5 linked regions of the Callithrix jacchus genome follow. The protein of the gene in region 4 interacts with the protein of the main gene of each other region in a biochemical or structural test. Links are inferred from orthologs where the notes say so. Each region holds a gene or a part of one and is shown on either strand. Other genes may lie near its edges. The genes, in order: PAIP2, PCK1, UBE2E1, UBR5 and OTUD5.

Region 1 (6,284 bases), on a different chromosome or scaffold from region 4:
AGACCAGCCTGACCAACATGGTGAAACCCCGTCTCTACTTAAAAAGACAAAAATTAGCTGGGCACGGTGGTGCTTCCCTGTAGTCCCAGCTACTAGGAAGGCTGAGGCAGAATCACCTGAACCTGGGAGGCAGAAGTTGCAGTGAGCTGAGATGGTGCCACTGCATTCTAGCCTGAGCAACAGAGTGAGACTGCATCTCAAAAAATAAAAATTTAAAAAATCCTGTTCTAGATGACAGTTTAAGATGTTTAACACTTAAATTCATATATTTCACCAGATTTTGGTTGGTAAGAGCAATTTTTTTCCCATTACTGCTGCCTGGAAGTCAGCAAACCCTTAGCGCTTTACTGTATCTTCAGCTGTTTTTTCCCCTCCTGAAATGCCTCTTAGACATACTGGTTTCCAGCAGTGTCCTTTTACATTGTCTAAAGATTTTTAAAATAAAAAAATATTTTATGTTTTACAATCTTTCTCCACTGGCTTCATCCCTTAAGAATTCTCATTAAAATTCAAATATAGTTCTCTTCTGCTTCTTTCATTAATTCTCCTCCATAGGCACCATCTTTTCTCATTCCCTTGGGCTCTGCTTTGAACCACTGTGATCCTTATTTGCATATATATTTTTGTTATCGAATTACGCATATATATGTTTAAGCATACTTCCTCTGGCAGTTAGGGAGGATCGATAATTTTTTCAATTGGTCTGTTTTCTACTCTGAAGTCTGTGAAAAGCACCGATTTTTTTTTTTTACTATTTGACGCAATAATGTCATGATTAAAAAACGTGGGCTCTGGAACCAGGCTGCTTTACTAGCTGTGTGACCACGGCAAGTTATTTAACCTCTCTGAGTCACGGTTTCCTCATCTGTACAAGGTACATTATTAATAGTACCTTGGGGGCTGGGCACGGTGGCTCAAGCCTGTAATCCCAGCACTTTGGGAGGCCGAGGCGGGTGGATCATGAGGTCAAGAGATCGAGACTATCCTGGTCAACATGGTGAAACCCCGTCTCTACTAAAAACACAAAAAAAAATTAGCTGGGCATGGTGGTGCATGCCTGTAGTCCCAGCTACTTGGGAGGCTGAGGCAGGAGAACTGTTTGAACTCAGGAAGTGGAGGTTGCGGTGAGCCGAGATCGTGCCATTGCACTCCAGCCTGGGTAATAAGAGCAAAACTCCGTCTCAAAAAAAAAAAACAGTACCTTGGTAGAGAAACTGGAGCATAATAATTAGCATTATCTATCTGGTGATTAAACATTTAGGGCAGTTAAAGGTCTCCAGACCAAGGGACAAGGTAAAAATAACAGATCTTAAATCTTCAGAGCTGAAACAATGTCACAAGAAAATCCCAAAGTCTATCCTAATCTCAACTGTAGTGTAACAAGGGCAACTAGGTGAGAGCAAGGATGGGTCATCCTTACTTATGGTAGCCATTGGATACATAGAGCTATTTAAATTAATATTTAGTTCTTTATTTACACTAGCCACATCTCAAGTGTTCATAACCAAACAGTACCTACATTATTGGACAGCTCCACTCTAACCAATGAAAAAAAAAAAACAACGAAGAAAAAGGGGAACTGAACCACAACCTACACTGAATACAAACTGTTCATGTACCTGTGCAACAGGTGGTCTAGATCACAAAGGCAATGACTTGAACAACTTTAATCTTAGACCACAGTCAGAAGACTTCGGTTCAAATCACAGCTATGCTACTCGACCACCTTAAAGTACCCTAGACCTGTCACTAAATCACACAGCACTGTATAATGGTTAAGAGCACACAATCTCTGGTCTATCTGGATTTGAATTCCGGCTATCACTAGCTATGTGACGTTGGGCAAGTTACTTCACATCTCTCATGTGTTCTCTTTGTTTTATAGTAGGGCCTACCTCCTAGTCATGTTGTGGATCAAATTAGTTAGTATTTGCTTGTTTCTTTTTTCCCCCTGCAAACTACACAAAGAATATTTGTAAAAAGCAATTAGAACAATGCCTGGCATCACTAAAATGTTATATAAATATCTGCTACATAAAAATAATGTCTCAAGCTTCTATTTTCTTAAGTCCTAGTGGGCAAGATAAAACTTGCTCTGCCTATTTCACATGTTGTCATGATAATGAATGACGACAGGATGTAAATTACAAGAAAATTTTTTTTTGTTTGTTTGTTTTGTTTTTGAGACGGAGTTTCGCTGTTGTCACCCAGACTGGAGTGCAATGGCGCGATCTCGGCTCACTGCAACCTCCACCTTCTGGGTTCAAGCAATTCTCTTGCCTCAGCCTCCCGAGTGGCTGGGACTACAGGTACGCACCACCATGCCCAGCTAATTTTTGTATTTTTAGTAGAGACGGGGTTTCACCTTGTTGACCAGGATGGTCTCGATCTCTTGACCTCGTGATCCACCATGCCCTGCCGTAAGAAAATGTTTTAAAAGCACAAACGGTTATTAGACTACAAGGAGGCAGAGGTCTTACCGTCCAACTTCTTTAATCTCCCACAATATCAACCAAATTGCTGTGCTAAGTGTTCATTTAATAAATTTAAATTTTTTCACTAAAACTGGAGCATCACACTCTACTCATAAAGGGATAAACCTGACTAAGGTACAGAGTGCTTATTATTTAAGGAAAAGCCTGCTATAAACTCATTCTGACCCAAAGACAGTAGAAACTACCTCAATTTGAGTTCCAAGGAGCAACATGCACAGCCTTGAATCATCATAGGAAATCTCCATTCCCTAACCTCCATCTCTTAAAGAAACACAAATGGGCTCTACAGCTAGTCAAGTTACCTATCCTGTGATACTTTTTTGTGAGAAAGTTTTCTTCAAGTTCACAATTGACAGGTAGTATAAACAGTATAATTTCCCCCAAATATCCTGTCTTTCACCAACTGGAAACAGAATCACAAAAACAAATGGTGAAGTCTCATTAAAAATTCTCATAAAGAACTTTTACTTATTGCAAACCTAATCTACGCTTTTGAAATTTCCAAAAGCGACACCAACACCTGATCTAACTGCTCAAATGAAATCTGTCAAAAAACAGAGCCACCACGTTCCAACATTAGCCAGCACACCCAAAAAGAGCCTCTGCTTTCTGTTGAAATGAACGTCAAAGGCTGTCAGCTGCTACACCTTCCAAGGCAAACTGGAAGCCAAATTCTTTTTAAGAGTTTGATATGGGTGCCAAACCAGAGAAAAGAGAAACAAAAGGAAGCAGATAAGACCACTTTTAGGATTCACTAAAAAATATCACTGCTGGCTGCTGCAACAAATGTTTTGCAGACCTAAGCTCACCAAAAGCCTTATTTATTTTTGGTGGCGGTGGTGGGGGAAGGAAGAGAGTAAGCACAGAAAATTATCAAAAGGTAAGAGAATCTTAAAGTTCATCTAACTCAACACCCTCCTAAGGTAAGGGTTCCAGTACCCCAAAGGTTCTCTTTCCCGGATCATGAGCTACAATACAACCAAAAATAAGGGGTAGGGATGGCGAAGAAACGGGAGAAAGGCGATCTTCTGATAAGGCCTGTCGACGGTTGCAGCGTTTCCCCCAGCTCGCCAACATCCCGCCAGTCCCTCCGCCCCTCTCCCCCCAAACCCCAGCCTCGGCTGAGGCGCGCAAGCGCAGCAAGTAGGGGCTGCGCGTGGCGACGCGCAGGCGTAAAGTGGGTAGAAACAATGAGCTTTGTTACCGAGGCGGTGGTGGGGGGCAGGGGAAAGGGTACCAGGCGGAGGGAGAAAGGACCAGAGGAATGGGGCACAGGAGAAAGTGCTATCCCGGCAACCCTCGCGCCACCGAGGACCCGGATAGAGAGCTGCGAGATCCAAATCATAAATAATGACAATGAAAAAAAAAGCTACGGCCATGTCTCAGAGAAGAGGGAGAGGAAATCTGCCCAAGCCCATCCCTCAGACTTAGTGCAAAGAGACAACGAACAACGGAGGCCGCAAGGGACTCGGCGGCCAACCACCAAGGAAACCCTTTAGGCCCCTCTGCCGTCGCTAAGGTGCTGTCCCTTGACCGCCGCACCCTTGTCGCCACTCCGCCCGAGGGGATCCCTCACCCTGTGCACAGCAGCGGGGATGGCAGCCAATGAATCCTGTCGGCCTCCGCGGATCTCCACAGGCAGCGCCGCTCCCCGCTCGACGTGCGCTTAGCCCGCCGCCTCCCTTCTCCAGTCCAAACAAACACCCCAGCGCGGAAGTGACTTCACTTCCGTCGCCGCCAGCCCCGCCCTCTTGTTCTGTCAGCTCTGCCCTCCGAAGCCACTAGAGGGCGCGCGCGAGAACGCGCGACCCCGAAGACTTAGTCTCCAAGGCTGCACACAAGTGCACGCGCAACGGCCTTTCCAGCGCGCCCCTGAGGACGGCTTCGGAGTGTACCAGGAACGCTGTCGAGCGTTCTCTCTGGGAGGTAGGAGTCGGAGCGCGCCACTATCCCTACATCCGCCCCTCTTTCGAGAATGATTGGATGCAATGAGGGAGGGAGCTGGGAACTGAGGAGCACCCTGACAATATACACACACAGGTGTGAACACTTAGACGTCTCACACACACCCTAAAAAGTAACATGTCGATAACGACATAACACAGACACCCGTACCCCAAGAATGATACACAATGTCACATTAACAGCTACATGCACCGAGTCACATCAAGATCCTGACACAGAAACATAATAAACTAAGGAAAATCGCAGAGGCATACTAAATGATATGCAAGTCCCCGCAGGCACAAAAACACACTTTTTGAAGCTGGACGCAAACGCAAAATACAAATGCATGGTTCCCAGACAACCTGTGCAAGCTTCTTGGTGGCTAAAGGAGGAAATACCCTGTCCAGACAGGATAGAAGGGTGTGACTTCCGGGTTCATGAATTTCCTAGTCCACGATCCTGGGTGCACTGGCCCGTTATTCTTACCTATGCTTCCTTCTTGTCATCGTTGACAAGCCTCAAGATATATTTCTAGGCCGGGCGCGGAGGCTCAAGCCTGTAATCCCAGCACTTTGGGAGGCCGAGGCGGGTGGATCACGAGGTCAAGAGATCGAGATCATCCTGGTCAACAAGGTGAAATCCCGTCTCTACTAAAAATATAAAAATTAGCTGTGCATGGTGGTGCACGCCTGTAGTTTCAGCTACTCGGGAGGATGAGGCAGGAAAATTGCTTGAACCCAGGAGGCGGAGGTTGCAGTGAGCCGAGATCGTGCCAGTGCACTCCAGTCGGGGTAACAACAGCGAGACTCCGTCTCAAAAAAAAGTCAGTCAACATAGCTAATAGAGTTGATAGTTATTAAGAAAGTAGCTGGGATCTAATTGCTCTGTGATGTTTTAAATTTTCCTATTATGTAGGAAAACAAACTCTCCCATTTAAATCTCAAAAGCCAAATAGCCAGTGAGAAGCTGCTACTTCTGATTTAACCACCCTGTCAAAGTTAAGCAAACTGAAATTGGTCCTGTTTTTGACAGGCACGGGCAAGGAGTGAAACTTGAAAAGCATTTTGTCCTAATCAAAGGTAGGATTGCTGCTGCTGTTTGTGTATACCCTTTTGGATCAGGTCCTTATAAGAAATTCCTCATAAATGTTGCAATATATGAAGCATGATATCATTGTTCATAGAAAGGTTATTAATCCTGTACCTAATACCAGGTGCTTTCAACCCAAGTATACAAATCCTGCTGAAGTCAGATGTTTATTGACTCGTCTATCACACTCAACAGACTACCCCTTCCTTAAAAGCATCTACTCTTTTCACTCATCTTTTTTCTTTTTGAGACAGAGTCTTGCTCTGTTGCCAGGCTGGAGTGCAGTGGTGCAACCTTGGCTTACTGCAACCTCTGCCTCCTGGGTTCAAACGATTCTCCTGCCTCAGCCTTCCGAGTAGCTGGGACCACAGGCGCATGCCACCACACCTGGCTAATTTTTGTATTTTTAGTAGAGACGGGGTTTCAACATGTTGGCCAGGATGGTCTCGATCTTTTGACCTCGTGATCCGCCTGCCTCGGCCTCCCAAAGTGCTGGAATCCCACTGGCTGGTGTGAGCCACTGCGCCTGGCCTCTTTTCACCAATTTTCATATCCCCTACCATATATTTGACTTTACAAAGTTCTTAAATGGTATGAAAATTACAACTTTCTAAGGCTATAATTGACAATTCAACGAGGCCAGGAGTGGTGGCCTACCAATGTTATCCCAGCACTTTGGGAAACCATGGTGGGTGGATTATTGGAGTCCAGGTTTGAGACTAGTATGGGCAATATGGCAAAACTTCTCTACAA
Region 2 (6,261 bases), on a different chromosome or scaffold from region 4:
TCTGGCTTTTTGGAAAGGAAGCTCAAGAAAGGAAGCCCCTGAGCACCCTCTGACAAGGTCATGGAGAAGGAGAGATTTCACAGACACCCTTCTGTACCCAGCACACCCGTGTTCCCAGCTTAAATGAAGGAGAGCCTCACCAGCAGGTCTGCGGCCTCCAAAGATGATGCCTTCAATGGGAACCCCTTCTGGAGACTCCCAGGCAGCATCGATGATGGGGCACTGGCTGGCAGGGGTGCAGAACCTCGAGTTGGGGTGGGCACAAGGTTCCCCTATAAGACAGAAAGGCCCATGAGTGCCTGGCTCAAACAGGCAATCCCGGCTGCCCAGCACACCGAGGCCTCTGGTAGGGGCTCACCATCCTGTGGGCTCCACTCCTTATTCTTCCAGGAAGTGATGGTGACACCTGGAGCTAGCTCCTCATCAATACCTTCCCAGTAAACGCCCCCGTCACTGGTCTCGGCCACATTGGTGAAGATGGTGTTCTTCTGGATGGTCTTGATGGCATTGGGGTTGGTCTTCACAGAGGTCCCAGGAGCGACACCGAAAAAGCCATTTTCTGGGTTGATAGCCCTTAAATTACCTGGAGAGTTTCGAACAGAGAAGCAGTGTTGAACGGCAGATTCTTCAATCCCGCCGGACTAATTTCTATGCCAGCTTCCCAGCTCTTTGTTCCCTCCCTAGAATATACATTTATCTCTTTTCATCTAAGCATCATATGCAACTTTGAGACATTTACAACTCTTGCTTCCTCCACAATTTTCCACCAATACCATCTAAACAAATTTATGTACGTAAACAAACAGCAACATATGGCCCTGTTTCAATCCAGCTTGAATATTAAATTGAAGAATTCTTACAGAATACAGAATACTAAGGCTTTGCCAGCTCTGAACTAATGAAATTTAAAAATCCAAGCACTGGATTGAGGAGACTGTGGCATGTTTTGAAGGCCAAGAATTCACTTGGGTCCAACTGAGTCACCTTGCGTGTCAAACTTCATCCAGGCGATATCGTCCCCGACGCACTCAACCTTCCACCCGGGGAGGCTGGGGTTCATCATGGCCAGGTTGGTCTTCCCGCAGGCACTGGGAAATGCAGCCGCCAGGTACTTCTTCTTGCCCTCGGGGTTGGTTATACCCAGGATCTGTTGGGGACAAGATTCTTTATTAAGATCTTTGTTTGCTTCTCCTTGAGGTTGGTACTTCCCAGAGGTGGGAATGCAGGCCCTCAAGCTCTATTTCTTCAGGTATCAGTGCAAACAAACATTTCCAAAATCATGAAGCCCAAAGGATCTCTATAGTGCCCTGGTGTTTGGGGCCCTTCAAAAGTGACTTATACAGGTGCACTGATCTTTAGTGGTGGGGTTTCCTGATCTATCCGGGAACCTGCATGCTCAGAGAGGTGTGCTGGGTCTTGCTGGACGGGAACTGTGATGCCGTTTGTTTCTGCCACCCACCCACCCCCCTGCCCACCTCCCAAGCCTCTCATGTGTACATCAGGGCTTCCTGCAGACTCACCAGCATGTGCTCTGCCAGCCAGCCTTCCTCTTTGGCTAGCCGGCTGGCCATCCTGAGAGCAAAGCACTTCTTCCCGAGCAGTGAGTTCCCGCCGTACCCACTTCCAAAGGAAATGATCTCTCTGCGATCAGGCAGGTGCGCAATGAGCGTCAGCTCCGGGTTGCAGGCCCAGTTATTGACCAAAGGCTCTGTGAACAAGGACCCCTCCCACATCAGTGCTCCAGGGCCCTGCTTGGGGGTCCCAAGTGGGGGGGTGGGGTGGGGTGGAGTGGGGTGTTCAGCTTTCTTTTTTATTTTGACTTTCGATTTTGAAATAATACACTTACTTTTTAAAGGCAGAGGGCACCCCACAGAATGGAGGCATTTAACAAACTCCCCATTGCCCAGTGCTTCCAGGACAGGCGTGCCCATCCGTGTCATGATCCGCATGCTGGCCACCACGTAGGGCGAATCTGTCAGCTCAATGCCGATCTTTGACAGAGGCGAGCCCAGCGGCCCCATGCTGAATGGGATGACGTACATGGTGCGACCTACAGGGTGTGAGGGTGGGAACTGGTGACAAATGACTTTGGACTACAAACACAACCAGCATTGTTTTCCAAGGTAGACCCATTTGCCCGATCTCCACCAACACCACCACGCCCTGCTTGTCACCAGCCCCCCTGGGTTAGAAGAGGCCACTGGAAAGTGAACAGCCTGCTGAAATTAAAGAATTTTCATAAATGTGCAATTGGGTCCCACCAAGCTGTTTTAAACCCACATGCATGGAAATAGTTTTCATGTTCACATAAAACAGTCTGTAAAAGCAGAACAGGGATGTACGTTTTCAATACATTGCCAATTTCATGTATGGAACTCAAAGACATCTGAGGTGGTGGGAGCTTCCGTTAGGTGGTTTGATTTACCGTTAGGAGAGATGAAATAAGAAAAGGTTCTCTGCTATTTTGCGCAATCAAATAAATGTTCCGCTCACCTTTCATGCACCCCGGGAACCTGGCATTGAATGCTTTCTCAAAATCCTCCTCTGACATCCAGCGGCCGAGCTGGCTGAGGCCAGTTTTGGGGATGGGCACTGTGTCTCTTTGCTCTCGGGTGATGATAACTGTCTTGCTTTCGATCCTGGCCACATCCCTGGGGTCAGTGAGAGCTAACCAGCTGCAAAAATCACAGGCTTCCTTTCAGCCCAGCACCACTGGCAATGGACCATCTCCTTCAGTACCGCTGCTTTCCATGCATAGCAGGGTGCTGAGCAGGCTGACAATGCTGCATCGATGTGAACACACAGACCAGCTAAGACATGGCCAGGTGGACATGAACTCAAGTAGTAGCTGGTCTGTAGGAGAGGGGCTGTCTTTTGCTTTTATCAGGAATCTAGTTGGCAGAGCTTTTGCGCACACCACCTCATTTAAGGTCTGGGCTGCTCTACCAATGTCACAAAATTCAAGTCTGTATGGTTCTGACCATCGCCTGCCTTCATCTTTTCAAGAGTCTGAAACTCCCGAGAGGCCTTTATTCACCTTTCTCCACTAACTCCCAGGAGATGCAGGGGAGCCCTGCCTGCGGGAGGCTGGGCAGGTGTCGGGGGCCAAGCTTACCAGTTGTCGTACTTCTTCAGCCGCCTGAGGGTGCCCTGCTCCTCCATGTGGCCCAGAAGCCGTGCGTTCTCCTCCTCGGAGCCATCACAGATGTGGATGCGATCAGGCTGACACAGCTCAGCATTGTTTTCGATAAACTCCCTCACTGCCTGGGGCAGGCTGTCCAGGGTGCCCTGGACAACTTTGGCCGCGATGTCCAGGCTGTTTTGCAGCTGAGGAGGCATTTCTGCAGAGTGCTGCTAAGGGGCACCAATGTCAAAGTCACCTGAAATAGAAAACGCAGGTGTCCTGGACAAAAGCAACAACAGACACCTTCAAACACATTCGATGGCCTTTCACCGGGGCCAAGCATTGCCAAATAATTATTGCTCTCAGGAAATAAATGAGCCCATCTTTGTAATTTTTAGAAATGTAAATGCAAAGCTCTACTTACCTTTCTTCTCTTTGGACAATCTCAAAGGGAGATCCACAGGTTTCTTTCCGGGTTCTTCCCGCCAGCGGGTTTGTGTTCCCCGTGGGAAGGCCGTGCTTGGTGGCAGAATCTTCCGGCTTTAAATACCAAGGAGGAGAACAGCCCTGCCCCTTGGCTACACCCAGGGAGGCTCGCCACTGATGTCAGGGAGCAGGTCTCTGGATCATGGCCAGGGTCAGTTATGCTTTGGGCCAACTCACTGCAGCACACCCCAGGGAGATAATCATTGAACAGATAGTTGTTAATGAATGCCGGCAGACCTTGGGCCCTCAACCAACCATAGTGAGTTTTGATACAACTTCCAATGGACTAAACTTTGACCCATTTTACTGCTGATGAAAAACACACCATCCTTTTCTTAGTAGGCAGGTGGAGTCGAGGACAAGGCTGGTCAGGGCACCTACTGGACACATTTTGTGTGCCAAGAGCTGCTGGTTGGCAAAACACCATAGCTACACGAAGTCACCCCATGTGAAAGTTCACAGTCAAAGTTCATGGGAAGGACGCACCCTGACTTGGGTGTATATGTGGCTTATTGGCAAAGATTGAAAACACCTAACCTAACGGGGGCTCATCACTGCATTGCGTCTCTGCTGTGTGCCCCCACCGCCCCAGATGTAAACCCCATGAGGGCAGGGATTTCTCCCTGTTTTGTTCATTTTTCTATCTACAGTGCTTGCCACAGAGTAAGCACAGAATGCGCACATGCTGAGCACTGTTCTAAGAGCTTGGCATCATTACTACAAACAACCTCTGTACAGATAGGGAAACTGAGGCAGAGATTGTGTAGCTATTCCCAGCTGGCTTGTAAGTGCAGAGTGAGGATTTGAACATAAGCAGGTTGGGCCCTGGAGTACCACGTTCCCCCCGCCCCAGGAGGTACCACCACCTTTCTGGAACCTTCCCTGGAGTTCTGGGCTAAGTGCAGTTACTCCTGGAGTCCACTAGACACTGTTCACTTCCCTGGCAAGTCTTACAGTTTGGGGAGTGGAGGGGACTTGGCAGTTTTACTAGATTATATGCTTAAGCAATGAAACCTTTATAACCGTTATAAAGAATTTGCTTTGCAAGCCATCAGAACTTCAGTCCAATTTAATGAACTACAGAAGCTGCTTGCTGGAGTTCAGAGAAAATGGGGTAAAAAGTCAAAAGAAAAAGGCTGGGCCCCGACTCCCCACAGCCAGCCCACACTTCCATGGGAGCCTCCCTACCTAAGATGAGGTCAGGTGAAGACTTGGCCCATCTCTCCGATGGGGTGTGGGGGTGATCCCTGAGAAACTCCCAGGCATGGGCATAGGAGGAGCCACCATGGCACATGCAGGGCACTGTGAATGGCAGCCTCCCACCAAAGGCACTTAGAGGACCCCCCAGGGGGGCATTGGTCTCACTGTGTTGGGCATGGACACATCACCAAGTCCCACCAAAATTATCCACCCGTTGCTATGCTTCCTTTATTCAGATTTTATTCAACCAGTTGGGTCTTTCAGGGTAAATACGACATGAGGTGCTTTTTGTTTCATTTGAAGTTATTTCCCCGTTAGGTCACTGGCATTCATCATTAGAGGTGCTGTCATCCATACGTAAGTTTGTATTGTGTCTAAACCCAGCACTACATGATACTCGGTAGCTGACGGCACTTCCTTAGCATCTGACTGACATCAGTGAATTAGCCATTCCGACTCCCAACCACAGCTCCGTGACACACTCATCACGCCCAGTGAGGCTCATCCCACCAAACTGGCAGAAAGTCCCATTTTGCTGATAAAACTGTAATAGGTTTGAGTCCCTGGAAGAGCACGTAGATTGAAAACAAAAATGAGAAAACAGAACGTATTTGGAGTTTGAAATGCTACCCATTCATTCAAGGTGCTTATGTTCTGAGTCTTCTGGGAGAGAAACACTAGTTCAATTAAAACATCGTGTCAGTGAGTTACCTCCGACCTTCATCTGATCCTTTCATTACTCACATTAATGGGGTGGAAGGATGGTATGATTCCCCTGCAACTGTCCCTTGTCAAAATGTTAAAAAGCAAACATTGGGTTACAGACTTGCCTCAAAGGACAGAGTTCTCTGGAAGAAAAAGCATGATAAAGTAGAGGGTTTTTAGGACACACAGGCAAAAGTCTGGGTGCAGTTGCCTTAGGCTTTGGTGGATGATGACCTAGGGCCCCCATCTTTCCCTGTCCTTAGAGACTCCCTGCCCCAACGGGGCCTCATTGACTACAGTTTCAAGAGGCTGGCCGGAGGCATGGGTCTTCCCCATCTGACCATCAGCTTATTTGTAAGTAAGCCTCAGAACTAAGTACTCTCTGTTTATTTCAACAGGGTCCTAAAGAAGCAGTAGAATACCCACCCTGCTGGTGGGATCTCTGAGGACCCCCAGTGAACCGCCCCCCCCGAGTGGACTTTGCAGTGTGTACTCGGTGGGTGGGGTGTGGAGGTGATTCATGCTGCCTGTGAGTTGTGTTAGTTGTTTCTGGGGCAGACACCTTGAAGACCTCCTAGGTTTTGGGGGGCTCCTTAGGCTCAGATTTTCTTAGGTCCAAGAGAAGTTTTTCATCCAATTTGCTGAAATCTCATATTCTCTAAGAAGCCTCAGCTCAGACGTTTATTAAGTGGCTGCTATGTATCCAGCACCGGGAATAAGAATCTTGATAGTACCAGGTGTTCTCT
Region 3 (6,441 bases), on a different chromosome or scaffold from region 4:
ACTGTATGTTTCTCTTGGAAGGTTTCTTATATTTTCATCAATTCTAAATCATAAAAACCCCATATCCTCTTTTCTGCCCTGGTGACAAAAAAACAAAAAGTAAAAGCATCAAAAAGTCCCCAAACCCATGCATGTCCTAAGAAAATTCCTAAGAAATAAGACCAGAGTGGAATTATTAATAACTTACTTTGCGTAACAGTTGATAAATCACCTTAATTACATATACTCATTTGACCTCGCCAGTCAGTAGAGCACAGGTATTCCTGCTCTTTATAGATGAGGAAACTGACGCTCGGGGAGGTTAATTTAGCTCTTTAGGCCTTATAGTTAATAAAAAGGAGAGCTAGAAAGTTGTATATGAATTCTTTTTCCTAAGATGCTATATACAGGCTTTAAAAATAATTTGGCATAAAGATTAGTCTTGAGAGTACTGGATTCTTTTCTAAACATTTTGAAGTTTTTATTCCCTCTAATTAGGTCATGCCAAAACCATAACACATTACCCCAAGCTAGTGGATATTAGAGATTAGAGGGAAAGGTACACAAAAGAGGGCAAGAAGCCTTCTAGACAGGTGGTTGGGAAATTACTTTTCCTTATAGCAGGACCTGTTAGATTTCATGATTTCTTTCGTCAGTAACACAACACAAAATATCAAGTTCTATTTTAAAAGAATTATTATTATAGCTAGTGTTCAATTTATGCAAACCAATATTAAAGAAAAAATTCGTCTACTGTCCTGATCACTCCAGCAAATCAAACCTTTTATTTTCCTGTGATCTCTGCTAGTTCTCATCTTTATACACATGATTTTTTTTTTACTGATTGTATTTATAATGTAGACATATATTTTTAAGTATCAGAAATCCATAATTTTCATAAGAGGACACTTCAATTTTAATAACTATTTTTAGACTATTTTCCTCATTCTGATTTTATTTCATCTGCTTATTGTTTTCTCCTGAATTCACATCTTTTCATCAGAACAAAAAGAATACAACCTGGTTTTCAGAAGTTTAAAAAAAATTTTCAAATATACGTCAGAGAATGTCATCATTTTTATATACTCTACCAGGGACTCCTGAAACCAAACACTTAAGAAAGGTTATGTCTGGAGAATTTTTCAAAATCTATATGCATTTCAATGGTGGAGAAATAGTTGTCTGGAATCAGGAGGCTGAAATTATGACCCAGAAGATTTCTTCCAACTTTTGAACTTCTATGACAACTCCTGGTAGAGACAGGTTTCCTGGTAGGGATTGAGCAAGAAGCATGCACAATTACATTATGAGTCTTGATAAAGCTGGAGTTTCAGGTTGATGGTTAGGAGTTCGGCTGGGTCGTGGGATGCTTGTTTTCCTGGTTACTGGATATGCCATGGGCTTTATATCTTGGGTTGTCCTGTGGTAACTGAAGCCACTGTTGCGGTGGAAAATGATGGCAGTTTGAATGAGATAATTTAGAGTGACCTGTGGAAATCTGAGGCTGTGTCCTTAACGTACAAGACCTTGTATATGTGGCACTGTTGTATGGCACATATCTCTTTAGTTCCCTTCAACTGAAATGACAAATAGGTGAGAAACTAAATCGTAATTTGATGGCCTAATATTAAAAAAAATTAATTGGACAAAAATGCTACATAAGGAACAATTCAGAAGAATTGCTGATTATTTCAAAACTATTATCTGAATAGTATTTATATGTAGCTAAAGAAAGCACTGCGATCCCAGAACTTTCCATCCAATTTCCAAAAACCAAACCTTATATATAATGTAAAATGACACCCAAAATTCTAAATCCAGTCTAATTCAGTAGTATATAGCTTATTCCCAGTGATTTCTCACATTTGCAAGCCCGTTGCACGTTGGTTTCATGTGTCACCAAAACCTTTGTATTACTCTTATAAAACCACATCACTTTGTATAAAAAGTGACTGGAAGAATTTAATATTGTAAAACTGCACGTGCCTCGCGTGACCTGAGCAGAAAACTCCTGGTTTGGGATTTTCTCACAGGCGTGCCTAAACTGACCTCTACTCCTAGCAGGTAAATTGCTAGAAGAAGCAAGTGTCAGCCCAAAGAAAACCCCTGTTGTGTGCTTTTTTTTTTCTCTTTAAACTGATCGCTTTTTAGGTGGAGTTCCCGCTGCATTCTCTAGACCAAAGTCCTTGCTTGCCACCAGATTACCATCTTTTTCACCAATTTGCCACCTCCCTACCCTTCTCCTTTCCAAAAGCCCTCACTGGAAAGAACTTTCTCTCTTGACCCCCCTATTCCATCTAGTTCCAAACGCTCCCAGAGCCTCCCACCTCCGTCGGCTTCCCCTCTCCCGCCTAGAATCCAGGTTCCCAAACCACTTAAGAGGAAATTCACACCCCTCGCCCCCTTCCCGGGCGTCCGGAGGAGACGCAGGGGTGGGGGTGCGGGGGGAGCAGGGTTTTCTGGGGTCTCCTGAGTCTTTCTCGCGCACCCTCAGGAGGTGTTGCAGGGGGAGAGGAGCGCGGGTGGGTGGGACCGGGCCGGGTGGGGGAGGGGTGAGGGCGAGGAGGAGGAGGAGGCGGCGGCGGCGGAGGAGTGGTGTGTGTGCGAGCGTGTGTGGCTGGGGGAAGCCATTGCCTGTTTAATAGTTGCTGTTGCTGCACTTCCGCTTCTCTCCCAGCGAGAGAGAGACACGAGTGGCCAGGCCCAGCCGCAGCCGCAGCAGCAGCCGCCGCGGCGGCACGGAGGAGCCAGACACAAAGAGAGGTACGGGGATCCCCCCAGCGGCCCGCCGCCCCCCGGCCGCGCCGCCGGCCTCGGGGACACCCCTCGCCGCCGTCCCCGACCCGCACCGCCCCGGCCGCCGGGGCGCCGGACACGGGGCCGGGGGAGGGGTGGTGGCGGAGAGGGGCTGGGGAGCCCCAGGGGTCCCGGGCCCGCCCGCGGGGGATGGGCAGGGACCCCGGGCCGCGTGGGTTGCGGGGCCGCCCGCGTCGGGGCTGGGGGTCATTGTGGCTCGAACTGTCAGCGCTGCCCCAGGAGCCCCCCCACTGGCCGCCGAGGGGGCCGGGAGCGGGGGTGGGGGGGAGTTGGGGGAGCCCTGTTTTCCCCAGGGGCGCGGGCTCCTGGGGATTTACCCCTCCGGGGCGGAAGGGCTCATTGTTATTTCTTCGCTGCGGAGGCCGAGCCCCCCCCACCCCACGCCGCAGCCCCTATCCCCCTCCACGAGTGGCGAACGGGCGTGTGCTCCGGACCCCCGCCCGGCTGCGCAGCCCTGAGCCGGGCGGCCCAGAGGCAGGCCGCCCGGGAGGGGCGTCGGGGCGCGGCGCGGGGGGGGGGGGGCTCGGGCCTCGTCGCCCCTGCCCCCCGCCGGCCTCTCCCTTCCCCCACCCGGGCACCCGTTCCCCGCCTCCGTCCCCCTGTTTCGGCTTCCTCTCTTACTCCTTCCCGCCCCTCCTCTCTTCCCGACCTCGCCAAACTCCGTTCGTGGCCCCACAGTCTCACCCGGGCCACCGGTCCCCCACGACCCCCGGAAAGCGTACAAAAACAGCCCCGAGGCCGGCCGGCCGCCGGGACCTTCCCTCCCTGCCCCGCTGCGGCGCCCCGCGCCCCCACCCTGCCCTTCTTCGCCTCCTGGTTACTCCCTCCCTGCCCTGCGGAGAGCCCCGGGGGGTGAGGGAGGGGCTGCTCTCCGAGCTCCAGACCGTTTTCCCACCGCGTTCCCTACTTGGGGCCAAAAATAAACAAACAAGCCGCGTCCGATTTGCAAAAGCCTTAATGGGCCTGCAGACTTTGAAAAGCGAGTGGAGGGCGGTGGGCGGCCGCGTGCGCCCCTGGTCAATGCCCTCCTGACAGCACCCGAGTTCCTTATTTACACTGGCTGCATGGTTTGTGTGTTTCTGTTTTGTTTCCCTCCCCCTGCAGGGGCTGTTTGCGGGGTGGGGTGGGGGGTTCGATATGTCGGATGACGATTCGAGGGCCAGCACCAGCTCCTCCTCATCTTCATCTTCCAACCAGCAAACCGAGAAAGAAACAAACACCCCCAAGAAGAAGGAGAGTAAAGTCAGCATGAGCAAAAACTCCAAACTCCTCTCCACCAGCGCCAAGAGGTACCGTACTCTTTTTTCCACAGGCTTCCTATTTTCCGAACTGCCTCTTGCTGCATTTGGTCTGCCTCCCAACGAGGATAGCTTAAACGCTCCTCACGGTTTGTGTGTTCTTAAAAATGAAAGAAGGGCCTTGGAAACCCTAATTATTTTCTCTATTGCTGCTTCTGTTTTTTAAAATCATTGCCCACATGCAGCTGTTGCGGCTTGGCTCTCGCTTTTCTCGCCGAAGTTTGTAACAATCCTCATCTACTTTTATTAGCGAGCCCCAAATCTGATTTCAGATTCCTTGTCCCACTTAATGGTTAATCTGTGACCTTCCCCAAGGCCATCATCCTGTTTCTTAATTACTAATAACCTGCTCAGACAACTGCATCGAAATGGATTCTATGACCATTTTACCTTCTTTTCACCTGTTGCATGGATGATCTTTTTGGAATAGAGCTTTCTCCACAAATTGTAAAAGGAATAAGAAACTCATATGAGCAGGTACAAAATTTCGTAGGTGAAGACAGATATTCTCTGATGGAATTTAAAGAGATTTTTCTGAGAGTTGAGACGAATGAATCAGTAAGTGATGTAAAATGGTTATTGTAGGTTATTTTTGTGATTCTCTTTGAGAACTTCAGTTTACCAAATTTCAGGGAGACTTTTTTTTCATGCTATTTGCTGTCCTCATGCTGTAAAAATGCTACTTTGCCTTATTTTTTTCCAATTTAAGCTGTGTCTCTTTTTCTTTATTCTTTTCCTCTTACAGCTCTTGGAGGTAGCTACTTTTTACACCTGCCATTCTTCAGTAATATCCTCTGATCCCCATGACACTTAAAATAATCTTTAGTAGATTCCTAGGAACTCCGAGACACCTTTTTAGAAATCCTTCTGCTCTCAGAGTTAGACAGTTAAAAAGGTGGCAAAACGGGAACATAGTAGGGAGTCCGAATGGTGGGTTAGGTAGAGAAACCCTTAAAAATTTTTAATGTAAAGTGGAACATGAGACTTTAGATCTGTCCACTGAGTAGTGAGCCAGGAAGTCAGGGTTTGAGGGTTTGTTCTGTCATTCTGCCTGACTTGTAATTTGAAAATTTGGCAGTGTTTTGGTGACCTAACCATGGGCTGATGGAGTGACTTTTAAAAAATAGTGTGGAGGTCTTAGGTGCCTCTGCAAGATTGTTCTCATTTTTATAGGTTTGGTTTGATCGTAAATCTTCCCAGGAGGCCTAACTGACCCTCACTGATTAGCCCTGTTTGGTTCTCCTGGAACCTGGCATCCACCCTGCCCACTTGGGATGGGCCTTTTCGCAGCACTGCCCTCCACCTCAAGCCTCTAGGCTCCCTGATCCTCATTTAGCTTTTGGCCTCATGTGCTCACGCCAGGATACTTGCTTTGGGCAATTTGCATCTTTATATTTTGCTAGATATCCCTGGTGTACATGAATATATATTTGGGGGTAAAGACACAGGTATCAAATAGAAAATATTCTGCTTTTGTTATGAGTGAATTGTTTTTTTCACTAGACATACTTTGTCCATTTATTTTAAACAAGTTAAAAATTTGTTTGAAAGTGCTGGGAAAGAGATGGTAGATTTTAAAAAATGAAAGGTGGGAGGCTACAAATAGTAATTTTACATGTAAATGAACATCAAGGCTTTCGTTTTGTTTTGTTTTTGCAGCGAATTTAGCTCCCTGATACCTTGCTGAAGAGTAGTAGCCATCAGTGTTAAAGCAGACCTAAGGTTGATAGCAAAAGGTAAAAAAAACCTGAGAGGGACAGTGTATCCAGGAAAGAGAAAGGGGAAAATTGATGTTAGTGGGATCCTATAGAACCTGTTCCGTGAAATATATTGATTTGGAAGGTAGGTGTTGCCCATAAAATTGGAAGGGGCACATTTACCAGGAGAAGGAGTGAAAAAGAAGCCTGAATTGGCAGACTCACAGCCTAACTGCATGCTGGAAAGTGGTTTCTAAACCGTGGGTAGGGGAAAGCCCCCATTGAAAGTGGCCTGAACAAGAATGACTGACTCTCTGGATGTAGGTATGAGTTCCTCCTGCAGATCTCTTGCCAGGTTTTGGAAATGCACATGCTGACTGTCAAGATGAAGTTGATAAAGCTTTTTGGTATGAACACTTCTTAGGTATTAACTGCCTCTTTAGTGGATATTTTATAGTGGGAGTTGGGTGGGCAAGGAGGTCTGAAGTCAGTATGTATTTTTATATGCATTGTGCTCCGGTGAGGAAGTTTTTGCCTGTGTGTGTAGGTCTTAAAATAGTTATTCGAAAAGACGCAGGTAAAGAATCCGGAAACCAATGTTCCAAACTTTTAGTGTAATGTAGTCATGAGTCAAACAGCAGGAGTATGAA
Region 4 (5,723 bases):
AATTCCATAACCAGGTATATATTCAAGACAACTGAAAACACACATCTACACAAAAATCTATATACAAAGGTTCATAGGAGCATTATGTTTAACAGTGGAAAGGTGGAAGCAACCCACATGTCCAACTGATGAATGGATAAACAAAATATAGTATACTCATACAATGAAATATTATTCAGAAATGAAAAAGAATGAAGTACTGATGTATGCTAAATATAGATGAACCTGAAAATCAGTATGCTAAGTTAAAGAACCCAATCACAAAAGACCACATACTGTACCATTCCATATACATAAAACATCCAGAATCCACTGAGAGGGGAAAAAAGATTAATGGTTGCTTAGGGAGGTGAAGGAGGGGAACATGAAGAATAACTGCTAACAGGTTTCCCATAGACGGGATTAAAACATTCCAAAATTCATTGTGAAAAACTATGGAACTAGACACTTTAAATGGGCAAATTGTATGTAATATGTGAATCATTACATTAAAGCTGACCGAGAGAGAGGAGCGAGAACACTGCCACCAACCAAGACCTGTCACCAGAATTCTGTGTTCTCTGGGGTAAGAACTACAGCCTAACCAAGATAAGGCTTTTGTCTCTTCGTGGAGCAGGCTTTCTAGGACAGGAAAGCTGCTAAAATCTCTACTTGAGCTGCTCTCAAATCTCTATCTCTAGTACAGTTACCTTTGCCAAGCACTCAATTCTGCATACTTGACATTTCTACCAATTTTTTTTGCCCAGTTCTCACATGTTCAAAAGCAAGTTTGTCCATTACGCTACCCTAGGTTTTTCTTTAATTTTCCTATTAGTTATTCAGAATCAAAGTCTAAATATAAACGATGCCCCCTCCTAATCCTTCAATAAGGCCCTAAATTCTGTTGATGATTTCAGTGCTTATCACTCCTCCTTCTGGTCATCACCGCCCTACTTTAGTAACTACCACCTCTGCCGGAGATGCCTATCACTGTCTTATTTTCCAAGTAATGTCCTAGACCCTTTTCTTTCCTCACTGTATGATCCACCCAGAATTAACAAAAGTATTTATCCTGAGGCAGAGCTAGAACCAAATCCTTGGATTTTGACTGTAGGTATGAAGCACTTTTACTATACTACTGTTGTTGCTCTGATGTTCAGTGTTTGCGCTGATACCTACTCCTGAAAATGATCACTTTATAACTGAATAAAAAGAACATAACAAATACACAGATATATATTTTAATTATAACTCAACAAGATGGGGAGGCAGAAAAAAAGAAATGTGAATTGAGAAACAAAAGAGCAGCACTGGTAATCACACACACTTTCCTCCTCCTCAGTACAAAGTACATCTACATCCAATCATAATCAAATTAACTTTCTAAGGTGGGGGAAGTACAAAGTACATCTACATCCAATCATAGTCAAATTAACTTTCTAAGGTGGGGGGAAGTCTTGGAGATAAGACAAAGACATAGACCAACAACTTCATAAATGAAGTCTTTAGTAACAGATTCCTATGATGTAAATGGATTCTTAAAAATAGCTTGGAGAGCCAGGCATGATGACTCACACCTAGGCCGAGACGGGTGGATCACCTGAGGTCAGGAGTTTGAGACTAGCCTGGTCAACATGGTGAAACCTCATCTCTACTGAAAATACAAAAACTAGCCAGGCATGGTGGCACACGCCTGTAGTCCCAGCTACTTGGGAGGCTGAGGCAAGAGAATTGCTTGAACCCAGGAGGCAGAGGTTGCAGTGAGCCGAGATCGCGCCAATGCACTCCAGCCTGTGGGACAAGAGTGAAACTCTTCTTGGGGGGAAAAAATAGCTTGCATGATAACCAGCCTATTATGCTTCAACAATTTAAGTAATGCAAGCAAGTCATTTCTTTCTCACAGTAAGATGAGATCTTAGATAATAGCAATTAAAAAGCTTTAACCTTCCAGGATATAAAGGTTCTATCTAAATATGTAAGTATAGGTACTCCTCGAGTGAAGATGTGGTTACGTCCTGATAAACTTGTCATAAGTCTAAATGTATTTAATACTCCCAAAAACCCCATTATAAAGTCAAAAAAGATTGTAAGGTGGGGATCCATTTTAAGTTGGGGACATTCCATATATACGAAGAATTTCATACCGTCTGCCTTCAAGCGTTCGTAAGCTAGCTTCTTCTCGCGCAGTCATCCTCTCTCTTCTCGCTGAATTCTGAGAAGCGTGAAGAGGATGATTTGGGTGCCCAGGATCACCAGCAGATGCTAATGCAGAACCATAACGTAATTGAGCTTCAGTAGAATCCATAATACTGACCATCCAGTTCCAAGTGGGAATAAGCTTTTCTTCTACATAGTTCTATGAAGACCAAACTAAAATAGTTAAAACTATCCAAATAGAACTAAATTCGATATAGCAGCAGTATGTCAACATTTAAATGTTTAACATTTAATTCCCCTAATACTGGAATTCTCAGAATTGACAGCCAAAAAAATATATTGGAATGAGAAACTTCACAGTGGGTTCATACCTGTAAGTTCACTGCATCTTGGTAAGTCAGTTTCACAGCTGCTGGAATCTGAGAGTATACTAGGTGATTATACTTAGGAATAAGGCCCATCAAGTCCGAGATTTGTCTAATGACAATGCTGTAAGCCCTGGCTAAACTGCTTGCAGATGTTAGGTAGCTGCTGGCGTTGCTAGCCTCCAAAGCAGCTGCTGCAGCTGCAGCACTTGTACTGATGGTACCACTCCGGCGTAAGTTTGAAGGATCAATATAAATCAAACCCGCTGAACTTGCTATAAGGAAAAAAGGACAATCACAGTGAGCTAATGTCAAGTGCTAATTGTACTTCTCTGGCATTGTACATACTTATGTAAATCTAAATGGTCAACTGTGGTAGCAGAGTCAAAAACTTTGCCTAAATGACACTATTTTGGGGAGAGGGGTAATGAGAGGATAAGAATTAATATAAAGTTCTCAACCAGGGGAAATCTGATCCCCACACCACCACCCTACCCTGCCAAAAGGGATACATTTGGCAGTAACTGCAGACATTTTTGGTTATCACAACTGTGGGAGCCAAGGGGAGAGGAAGAAGGCTGAGATGGGTTTCACTGGCATCTAGTGGGTATAGGCTAAGAATGCCGCTTAACATCCCACAATGCACAAGAGAGCCTCCCACAGTTATCCAGCCCAAAGTTGCAATAATGCAAAGACTGGGAAACCCTGCTATTATCATATGCGCCTCATTTTTATATTTGAAACTCAATAAAACAGTGAGGAGCTATCATAAAACTAATTTGTTCCCTAGATGAGCATGCATAATTTAAAAAATGTATTTAAGTATTCTTAGGAATACCAAGGTTTCAGACTTGCCTGCTGGTGTAGATGTACTGGAAGGGGCTGTACTCGCTGCTCGCTGATGCTGGGTGTTGCGGACAGCCCACTGCATTGAACGGGGAGCTTGGGCAGCACCATTGGCATGGGAGCTATTTGTGGTTCTTTCTAATGGTTCATCGAGCATAAAGGTCTCCTGTTCTATGTCATCACTCTGACTACTACTGCTATCAGAATCACTTGAGTCATTTGACTGAGAATCATCTTCAGAAAAGAAGGCAGGAACACTGCTTGCTCCTAAAATTTTTATTTTTAAAACCAAAAACATTGTTTTTGTTAATTAGAATTACAATGTACCCCCCTCATTCAAGAAAACATACATATTAAACAGAATGCCAGATTGTATTCAATAATCCACAAAACTCACCACTAAAATAGTTTTTATTAGAAAATAACTTTTGGCTGAGTGTGGTGGCACATGCCTATAATCCCAACAACTGAGGAGGCTGAGGCAGGAAGACTACCGGAGCTCAGGAGCTCAAGACCACCCTGGGCAACACAGCAAGATCACATCTCTTTAAAAAAAAAATTAGTCCGATGTGGTGGCTTGCACCTATAGTGCCAACTACTCAGGAGGCTGAGGTAGGAACTCAGGAGGAGTTCAAGGCTGCAAAGAGCTCTGACTGCACCACTGGAATATCTAGCCTAAGTGACAGAGTGAGACCCAATTCAAAAAAACAAAAAGAAAAGAAATCAAAATCCTTTAAATGACCTTGAAAATCCATTCATCATTTAATAGCCAGAAAAGCTGGGGTAAGAATTATTAAAATAATACTTTCTTTACTAATATCCAGAGAACAAGGATGAAGTTATAAAAATGCTTAGCTACCCTTGTATATACCACACAAAGTATGAACCAGTCCGTGCTGAATACTCACACAGCCTTAACATGAGAAAGTTGTCGGGATAAGGTGACATACCTGCTTCTGAACCAGCGGTGGCTGCAGTGACAACACTTCTGCGCCCACTAGCATTATCTTGGTTGCTATGGTTACTTTCACTATCACTTTCTGTTTCAGCTGCTGCTAACAAGTCCAGCTCCATATCACTCCCTAAAAAATATATTTAAATAAGAAAAAAGCACAAGCTACCATAATTTAAAACAGGGTCTGTTATGCCAGAATATCCTAAGGGTGGGAACTAAGACGGCATGGAGGTGGGAGTTGGGGAGAAGGGGAATGGTGTGAGAGAGAATAAAAATAAGTAACTACTCAACCTTCGAAGAATGACTAGGGAAATTATGGTAGTCAACAGACTATCACAACAGGGCAGTGCAGGGGAAAACTGAAAGTAAATACACAAATCATTGCACCTAGGTGTAATTAAGGGTGATTTATTTTCCTTTTCTCTTATTTCCAAATGTTTCATAATGCGACCACGATTGTTTTAAAAAAGTCTTTTAAGAAAGTGACTTAAACAAAAGGAAAAAGGGAAACCATTTTATATATGTATTTATATAGCTCCTAAAATTTTTTAACAGATGCTACAGAAACGCTTGGCAGAAACTAAGTGGGCCATTTCACTATACATTCAAAAGAGGTTTCTCTGTTTTCAAAGTACCTGATGTACTCATACAGAGTAACTTCTCAAACAACCTGCCTACCGTCTTCATCATGCTCATCGTGCTGTCCCTCTGCCTCGGCATTTTCTTCCCCATGTTCTTCCTGTTCATCATGATGATCCTCTTCTCCGGCCACACCCTCCACCACCTCAACCTAAATCCAGAATCTTATTTGTAGACAATCAAAGTACATAATAAACCTGTATCTCTACCAGTGTTCCCCCAAAGAAACTAGTTAACTAAAATGCAAAGATTCCTAACTATAAAAAATTCTAAATCATATACCAAGCAGTTTTGAAAATCTTCATGTGACAATTTGCTGTCGAAAATCATATCCACAGGTCCCAAAGTTTATTACTGAACATATACAGAACACTCAAATTAGAACTTTAAAAATTATACTGGAGACAGGGAGGAGAGTTAAATTTTTATATATTGTGGCCATGATAAAATTTACTTCATAAATAGGTAGTATCCTCTTTCAAATGCATTGCTCATAACTACTAAATTTTTCTAACATTAAGAGTATCTTGGGGCCGGGCGCAGCGTTGCAAGCCTGTAATCCCAGCACTTTGGGAGGCCAAGGTGGGTGGATCACGAGGTCAAGAGATCGAGACCATCCTGGTCAACATGGTGAAACCCCGTCTCTACTAAAAATTACAAAAAAATTAGCTGGGCACGGTGGTGCGTGCCTGTAATCCCAGCTACTCAGGAGGCTGAGGCAGGAGAATTGCCTGAACCCAGGGGGCGGAGGTTGCGGTGAGCCGAGATCGCGCCATTGCACT
Region 5 (6,274 bases), on a different chromosome or scaffold from region 4:
GGGGAGTAAGGAGGTGTTTTTGAGTTATCATGCCAGCACAGGATGTTCTTCCTCTGTCCCTGAGACCAGTGATGTATCACTCCCTGCTTCTGTGGGAGGAGAGAAACTATCTGACCAGAGAGAGAAGAAATAACTGGTCCTGACCCTTGAGTACAGATGGCTTATAGTGCTAGAATGATGGGAGGAAGGGAACAAGAACAAGGGGCTCCAGACAAGGCTTGGGGCCCCTGTGAATTACAGATTTACCTGAGCCAAAGGGAAAAGGAATGTGGGAGGAGAGTTTCTTGAGTGGCAATGTCCCAAACCCCTTTCCTGTCTCTGGAAAGAAAAAAGCTTGTCAAAAGCAGTTCAGAACTTATTACATGACCTAGAGGTGAGAAGCAAGCATAACTGGGTCAGGGAGAGACTCAGAATCACTTCTGGTTTCAGAGGGGAGGCTCCACACTCCATGTCTTGAGGACGGGACAATCTTCTCACAGAAAGTAGGAGGACCCTCTTGGCCCTGGCCACAAGGGGGTTCAGAATATGGGGTTCATATGACCCTGAAGAGCATCCAGGTCCATCTGTCCAATGGGAGAGGATGACCTTACATTTCTCTCCCTGGACAGAAAGGATTGCCTAGTGTGGTAGGAGGAGAGCCTCATGCCCAAGTGGGAGCCAGGCCCCTGTCCCTAAGGCAAAGGATCTCTTGTCCCAGAGCAAAAGCTCGGCCCCAGACTCTTTTCCTCAGAATCCTACCCTATTCATATCCCCAAGGGGAGTTGGAATCTGAGGCCCAAAGTCCCCGAGGGAGGAAATCTTATGTCCCTAAATGACCCCTATGACTGGGGTGTCTGTACGTTGTCTGAGGTGAGGTGACAGTACCCTCAGGGCAGTTTTAGAAATCAGCTCCTAAGGAGAGGAACAGGCCTTCGCACACCTGAGGTAGGATTCAAACCCTGGGGGTAGACTCAGGACCCTGTTCCACAGGGATCCTTTATCCATGCCCCAAGGAAAGGGTCTCAGGGGTCAGGTCTGGGGGAGGAGTCCTCCTGTTTCTCAGGGGTACATCTCAAGTTTCTTGAGAAGGAAGCTCAGACCTTACCTCTAGAAACAGAAGTCACCAGGGTATGTACGAATCTCCTGTCCCTGAAGGAAAACTCAAGAGTCCTTGGTAGAGTGGCTCTCAGGCCCTTAAAGGTAGGCAGAGATCCATAGGGAGGCCCCAGACATCATCTCTGGGATTCTATGTTGCCCATGTCCCCTGAGTAGTCGTCTCAGGCTCAAGTTCTCAAGACATGGGTCGTGTGTCTCTGACAAGAAGCTTAGGCCCAAGGGGGAAGGGCCTCAAACTACTGTCACAGAGAGAAGATGGGATATTGTATCCCCAAGGTATGTTTCAGTCCCTTATAACTGAGGTAAAAGGGTCACATATCCTTGTGGAGTGGGGAGTCTGAGACCCCCAAAACCACTCAGATACCAGTCTCAAGAAGGGTCTCCTAAAGACTTCACCTCTGCAGCGGGGCACCAGGCCCCTGAAGAGGCCTCAGACTCAGTCCCTAAAAACCTCAGTCCAGGGCCAGATGCAGTGGCTCACGCCTGTAATCCCAGCACTTTGGGAGGCTGAGGCGGGTGGATCACCTGAGGTCAGGAATTCGTGACCAGCCTGACCAATATGGTGAAACCCTGTCTCAAAAAAAAAAAAAAAAAAAACACCTCAGTCTGTAAGAAGGTAGATCTTAGGCCCTAGGATCCAACCCTCTGAGTCTCATTCTCCTGAAGAAGCTTCAGGCCCTTGGTGGGAGGTGGGGGCTTTGAGGGCCCATCTCTTCTTACAGGGAGCTTAATATTCTGAAGAGAGGTTCTGGCCCTTGTCTCCAAAGAGGTAGGTTGCAGGCCACTGATAGAAAATGAAGACCTTTGTCACTCAGAAAGAGGATGAGTCTCATGTACTCAAGTAAAGCTGCCGGTCCTTGGGTGTTGGTTTTGGCCCCTGACCCCAAGGGCAAGGGAATCATCTTCCTGCAAAAAGTTTTATATCTCTGGAAAAAGCTTAGAAGACCCCTCTCCTTAAAGAGGGCGTTATGTGTTTATCAGGACCTTGATTCTAGAAGAGGAATTCTCAGGCCCCTGAAGACAGAGTTAGGACCCTTGAGGTCTCAGGTCTGGCTATTCAGTGGTCCTGTGTTCTATTACCCAGCAAAGCGGAGACGGTTGTCCTATATGCAGAGTGTCTCAGACTCTTGAAGGGGCTTAGGTTCCTTGGGGATGTTCATACCCCATCTCTGGGGTCTCTACTTTATTTGATTTCCCTAGAGGGCTAATCTCAAACTTCTATCCCAGAGAAAAAGAGCTCTTAAGCCACTGAACACAGACCTAGGTCTCTTGGGAAACCTGAGACTCCTGTTCAAGAGGGGCTCGATCCTACCTGTGTCTCTTGGAGAATTCCCACCTATTGGCCCTACAAGATGAGGTCCCAGGAACTGGAATGACGACTACAGACCCTAAAAGAGGCCTCGGATCTCTACGAGGTCCTCTTTGGAAGTCTGCCACTTCACCGTAGGCCTCTAGCCCCAAATCCCTAGACGGGGGGAAAGAAGGTGTCTCACACCTCTACCACGAGAGAAGACTGTCAGGCCCAGTGAAAAGGCCTAGATCCCTTGGGGAGATCTCAAACAGCCTTCGGGTACCTTCACAGTGTGGGGGTCCCATCTACCGTAGCCGCCCACCCATCACCCCACAGCTCTTACCTGCTCGACAGTGGCAGGATCCATAGCCTCGATGCGTGCTGCAGCAGCCTCATACTCGTCCTCACTGTTGTAGCCTGCGCCGACCTCCTCACGCTCGGGACTACCCCCGCCAACTGCGCCAACCCCGGGAGCTTGACGTCGCCGCTTGCTGTGGCCAGGCCCAGAGCAGCAGCCGCCCACGCCTACGGCACCACCCACACCCACCACCACGCCCGCGGCACCCACACCCGCCGCCGCTGCGCCCAGCGCGTCACCGGGCCCGCCGCCGGGCCCACCTGGGCCCCCGCAAGGAGGTGGAGAAGCCTGTTGTGGCCGAGGGCCCGCCACTGCACCAGGCGGCACGGCCAGTGCCCAGCGGTGAAGAGCGCCCGGTGGTCCTGGTAGCGGGCCTTGAGGCGGTGGCGAAGCTCGAGGACGGGCCCCCACCACGCCGGAGTCACGGTCGCGATCGCCGCCGCCCACGCCCGTGCCGCCGCCGCCCACGCCCACACCCCCGCCGCGCCGCGGCGCCGGGGGCAGCGGCCCGGGCGGCGGCGGCTCGTTGGCAGGGTCGGCGTCGGGAGGCGGCGGCTTCTTTTTGGGGAGTATAGTCATGGCTTCACCGCCGAGTGCCCCCCAGCAAACCCGGCGCAGAGCACGCCGGGAGAGAACCCGGATGAGGGGGCTAGTGTAGTGCGCGAAGCACGACGGGAACGGCGAGACCCGGATAAAGAGATCGCGGCACCGGTCCGAGAACCCGCGGCGGCGGCGGCGGCGGCGGTGGCAGTGGCGGCGGCGACAGTGGCGGCGACGGCGCGCGGGTCACGCCGGGAGAACCCGGATGTGAAGTCCAAGATGAAGGCAGTGCGGCGAATTTGTCGTAGCCTTCTCTCCAAGTCCAGCAAGTTTATTGCTACGCTCGTTCTGGCCTTCTGCTTCAAAGGAGACAGAACCAAAACAAGCACCTCTTCACTCCGCCCCCTCGCAGGTTCTTGCACTACCGGGTGGGGCCCCGGGGCGCTGCGCACGCGTGCCAGGGCACAGCCCCGCCCCTCGCTCGAAGTACGTGGGCAAAATCGTCGCCGCTGCCACAACAATTGCTAACACCAACCAATTGAGCAGCTGCGTGGGTCCCCGACGACGCCCACGGGCCAATCAGAGGCGAGTGCTTGCCCTCCGGTGCCCTCCGTCTCAAATTTCAGTCAAAGTCGACACCCTCGTTCCCAGCCTTTCTTGCTGTCGGTCCCGTCTTGCTCTTTACTTTTCTCCCCGAAGCTCTCACTTGCAGGCGTCGTAACTGTGGACGGACAGCGTGGCCTGTTTCACCTACGAAAGGAAAAACGCCTCCCCTCCAGGCTTCCAACTTGAACGCTGTCAGCCGGACTGACAGGAAAACATCAACAGTCCAGAGCACAGCATTCCTCTCGAGCGTCACTTCCGATATTACCCCCCTGCAAATACCCTTCCGGGGGAGGTGGACACCGCTTCACCCCAGCAACAGCTTAAGTTCTGCGGTGATTGGTTAAGAGACGCCGTCACTCCCGTCATACCGACCAACCTTGGGACCGACAGGCACCGTGGGGACAGTGGTTGTTTGGGAAACAGACACGCCTTCTCTGGCGACACAGCACTCTCGCCCTCGCGGTGACCTCCCCGCCCCTATGGCTAGTGCGCAGGAGCGGCCCAGCCTTTTTATTTTTAATTGTTTCCTAATTGAGACGAGGGTCTCACTCTGTCGCCCAGGCTGGAATGCAGTGGCGCGATCATAGCTCACTGTAGACTCCAACTCCCAGGTTCAAGCGATTCTCCCGCCTCAGCCTCCCGAATAGCTGGGACCACAGGTGCACACCACCACGCCCGGCTAATTTATTTTTTCACTTTTTTTGTAGGGACAAAGTCTCGCTACGTTGCCAGGCTGATCTACAGCTCCTGGGCTCAAAGGATCCTCCCGCCTCAGCTTCCCAGAGTGCTGGGATTACAGGCATGAGTCACCGTGCCTGGCCAAGCCTAGCCTTTTTCTAAAACTAAGTTTGCCTGGGTCGATCGAGGTTTATGAACCACCTCTGTCACCAGTCAGCGTCTCGCAATGGGGTTGGCAAAAATCCCTGCTATTGAGTGGCTGGAGAGCTACACACTAATCCTAGCTCTGCCCTTCTTGTCTGAGTGATCTTTGGCAAGTCATTTAGCATCCACTCCGTCCTCAATTGTTGTTGTTTACTTTTTTTTTTTTTTGAGTCGGAGTCTTTCTCTGTCGCCAGGCTGGAGTGCAGTGGTGCGATCTCCGCTCACTGCAACCTCCGCCTCCCGGGTTCAAGGGATCCCCCTGCCTCAGCCTCCCGAGTAGCTTAGACTACAGGTGCACACCACCACACCTGACTAATTTTTTGTATTTTAGTAGAGACGGAGTTTCACCATGTTGGCCAGAATGGTCTCGATCTCCTGACCTCCTGATCCGCCTGCCTTGGCCTCCCAAAGTGCTGGGATTACAGGCGTGAGCCACCGCACCGGCCTGTTGTTTACTTTTTTAATGGAACGCTTCACAAATTCGCGTGTCATCCTTTCAAATGGTGCCATGCTAATCTTCTCTATCGTTCTAATTTTAGTATATGTGCTGGGAAGCGAGCACCCATCCTCAATTTCCACTCTATAATAAATTGGCAATGATAATTCCAATCTGAGGATCAGAGATTAATGCTTGTAAAGGGCCTGGTGCTGTGCCCACCACATAGAACGTGTTTAATAAAGTAGTCTGCATGGTGGTACAGTGGAAGGACCCCAGGCTTTGGAGCCAGAAAGATCTCAGTTCCGGGCACAGATGGACCATCACCAACTAAGACCTTGAGGAACTCATTGTGTTGCTTTTGGGATTACCCATATTTAAAACGGGAATGATAATGCCTGCCCATACTATCTCAGGGAATGGTTATGGGGTTCAGATGAGCTGATGAACCAAGAAGGTATTAAGAGTTCACTTCCAGTCTTAGGAGACAAACCATACAACAGGTCGACTGAAAGAGACCATGGGAAAGCTGTTTTGAATAGGGCTTTGATTCCCTTCAGATATTAACCCTAGTTGAAGTTCTTCCCTGAAAGGCATTAAGTAATAAATGGGCTCTAGTAGTGTTTTCTGCTCATGAGACTTAATGGGAGGAGGGGACTTTCATGTTTACCGAGCCTGTTGTGTTCAGGGCTCTGTGCCAAATACCTATGCACATTATCATATTGAATCTTCTCATGATCATCTCACTCCAGCCCCATATATTCTACTCATTACACATCTAAAACTGAACTCATGATAGTAATCATGGCTACCTTTCACCAAGTACTTACTATGTACCTAGCACTGAGTGCTAAAAGCTTTGATGTTCCCTTTACCAGGGAATAGTACTCCCATCCAGCCACTGCTCAAGCCATAACCTGGGGGTCAACCTTGACTGCTCCCTCTTCCTCAATTCCCACATGCCTGTTAATCCCAAATCCTGCCAATTCTACCTCCCAAATCTCTAGATTCTCCAATTCTACTGCCACTACTCTGGTCCAAGCCACTGTCACCTACCACCTGGACT

The links.
Region 1: the proteins of UBR5 (region 4) and PAIP2 form a complex in vitro, tested with the Homo sapiens proteins (2 studies listed by BioGRID and IntAct, with this or other methods). The link is inferred for Callithrix jacchus from reciprocal best matches to the Homo sapiens genes UBR5 and PAIP2.
Region 2: the proteins of UBR5 (region 4) and PCK1 form a complex in vitro, tested with the Homo sapiens proteins (2 studies listed by BioGRID, with this or other methods). The link is inferred for Callithrix jacchus from reciprocal best matches to the Homo sapiens genes UBR5 and PCK1.
Region 3: the proteins of UBR5 (region 4) and UBE2E1 form a complex in vitro, tested with the Homo sapiens proteins (2 studies listed by BioGRID). The link is inferred for Callithrix jacchus from reciprocal best matches to the Homo sapiens genes UBR5 and UBE2E1.
Region 5: the proteins of UBR5 (region 4) and OTUD5 form a complex in vitro, tested with the Homo sapiens proteins (2 studies listed by BioGRID, with this or other methods). The link is inferred for Callithrix jacchus from reciprocal best matches to the Homo sapiens genes UBR5 and OTUD5.

Annotation. Positions count from the first base shown.
Region 1 is NC_133503.1:37,730,432-37,736,715, reverse strand, and holds the start of PAIP2 (polyadenylate-binding protein-interacting protein 2), read right to left. Parts: upstream 4,198-6,284; 5' UTR 4,072-4,197; intron 1-4,071. UniProt on the Homo sapiens protein: Acts as a repressor in the regulation of translation initiation of poly(A)-containing mRNAs. Its inhibitory activity on translation is mediated via its action on PABPC1.
Region 2 is NC_133506.1:53,146,024-53,152,284, reverse strand, and holds the start of PCK1 (phosphoenolpyruvate carboxykinase, cytosolic [GTP]), read right to left. Parts: upstream 3,643-6,261; 5' UTR 3,549-3,642; intron 3,381-3,548; 5' UTR 3,340-3,380; coding exon 3,116-3,339; intron 2,676-3,115; coding exon 2,494-2,675; intron 2,051-2,493; coding exon 1,847-2,050; intron 1,709-1,846; coding exon 1,521-1,708; intron 1,148-1,520; coding exon 985-1,147; intron 584-984; coding exon 359-583; intron 273-358; coding exon 141-272; intron 1-140. UniProt on the Homo sapiens protein: Cytosolic phosphoenolpyruvate carboxykinase that catalyzes the reversible decarboxylation and phosphorylation of oxaloacetate (OAA) and acts as the rate-limiting enzyme in gluconeogenesis.
Region 3 is NC_133518.1:62,151,371-62,157,811, forward strand, and holds the start of UBE2E1 (ubiquitin-conjugating enzyme E2 E1), read left to right. Parts: upstream 1-2,635; 5' UTR 2,636-2,742; intron 2,743-3,900; 5' UTR 3,901-3,933; coding exon 3,934-4,085; intron 4,086-6,441. UniProt on the Homo sapiens protein: Accepts ubiquitin from the E1 complex and catalyzes its covalent attachment to other proteins. Catalyzes the covalent attachment of ISG15 to other proteins. Mediates the selective degradation of short-lived and abnormal proteins.
Region 4 is NC_133517.1:94,653,255-94,658,977, reverse strand, and holds part of UBR5 (E3 ubiquitin-protein ligase UBR5), read right to left. Parts: intron 5,093-5,723; coding exon 4,981-5,092; intron 4,430-4,980; coding exon 4,298-4,429; intron 3,615-4,297; coding exon 3,353-3,614; intron 2,773-3,352; coding exon 2,508-2,772; intron 2,336-2,507; coding exon 2,124-2,335; intron 1-2,123. UniProt on the Homo sapiens protein: E3 ubiquitin-protein ligase involved in different protein quality control pathways in the cytoplasm and nucleus. Mainly acts as a ubiquitin chain elongator that extends pre-ubiquitinated substrates.
Region 5 is NC_133524.1:49,515,129-49,521,402, forward strand, and holds the start of OTUD5 (OTU domain-containing protein 5), read right to left. Parts: upstream 4,139-6,274; 5' UTR 3,324-4,138; coding exon 2,730-3,323; intron 1-2,729. UniProt on the Homo sapiens protein: Deubiquitinating enzyme that functions as a negative regulator of the innate immune system. Has peptidase activity towards 'Lys-48'- and 'Lys-63'-linked polyubiquitin chains. Can also cleave 'Lys-11'-linked ubiquitin chains (in vitro).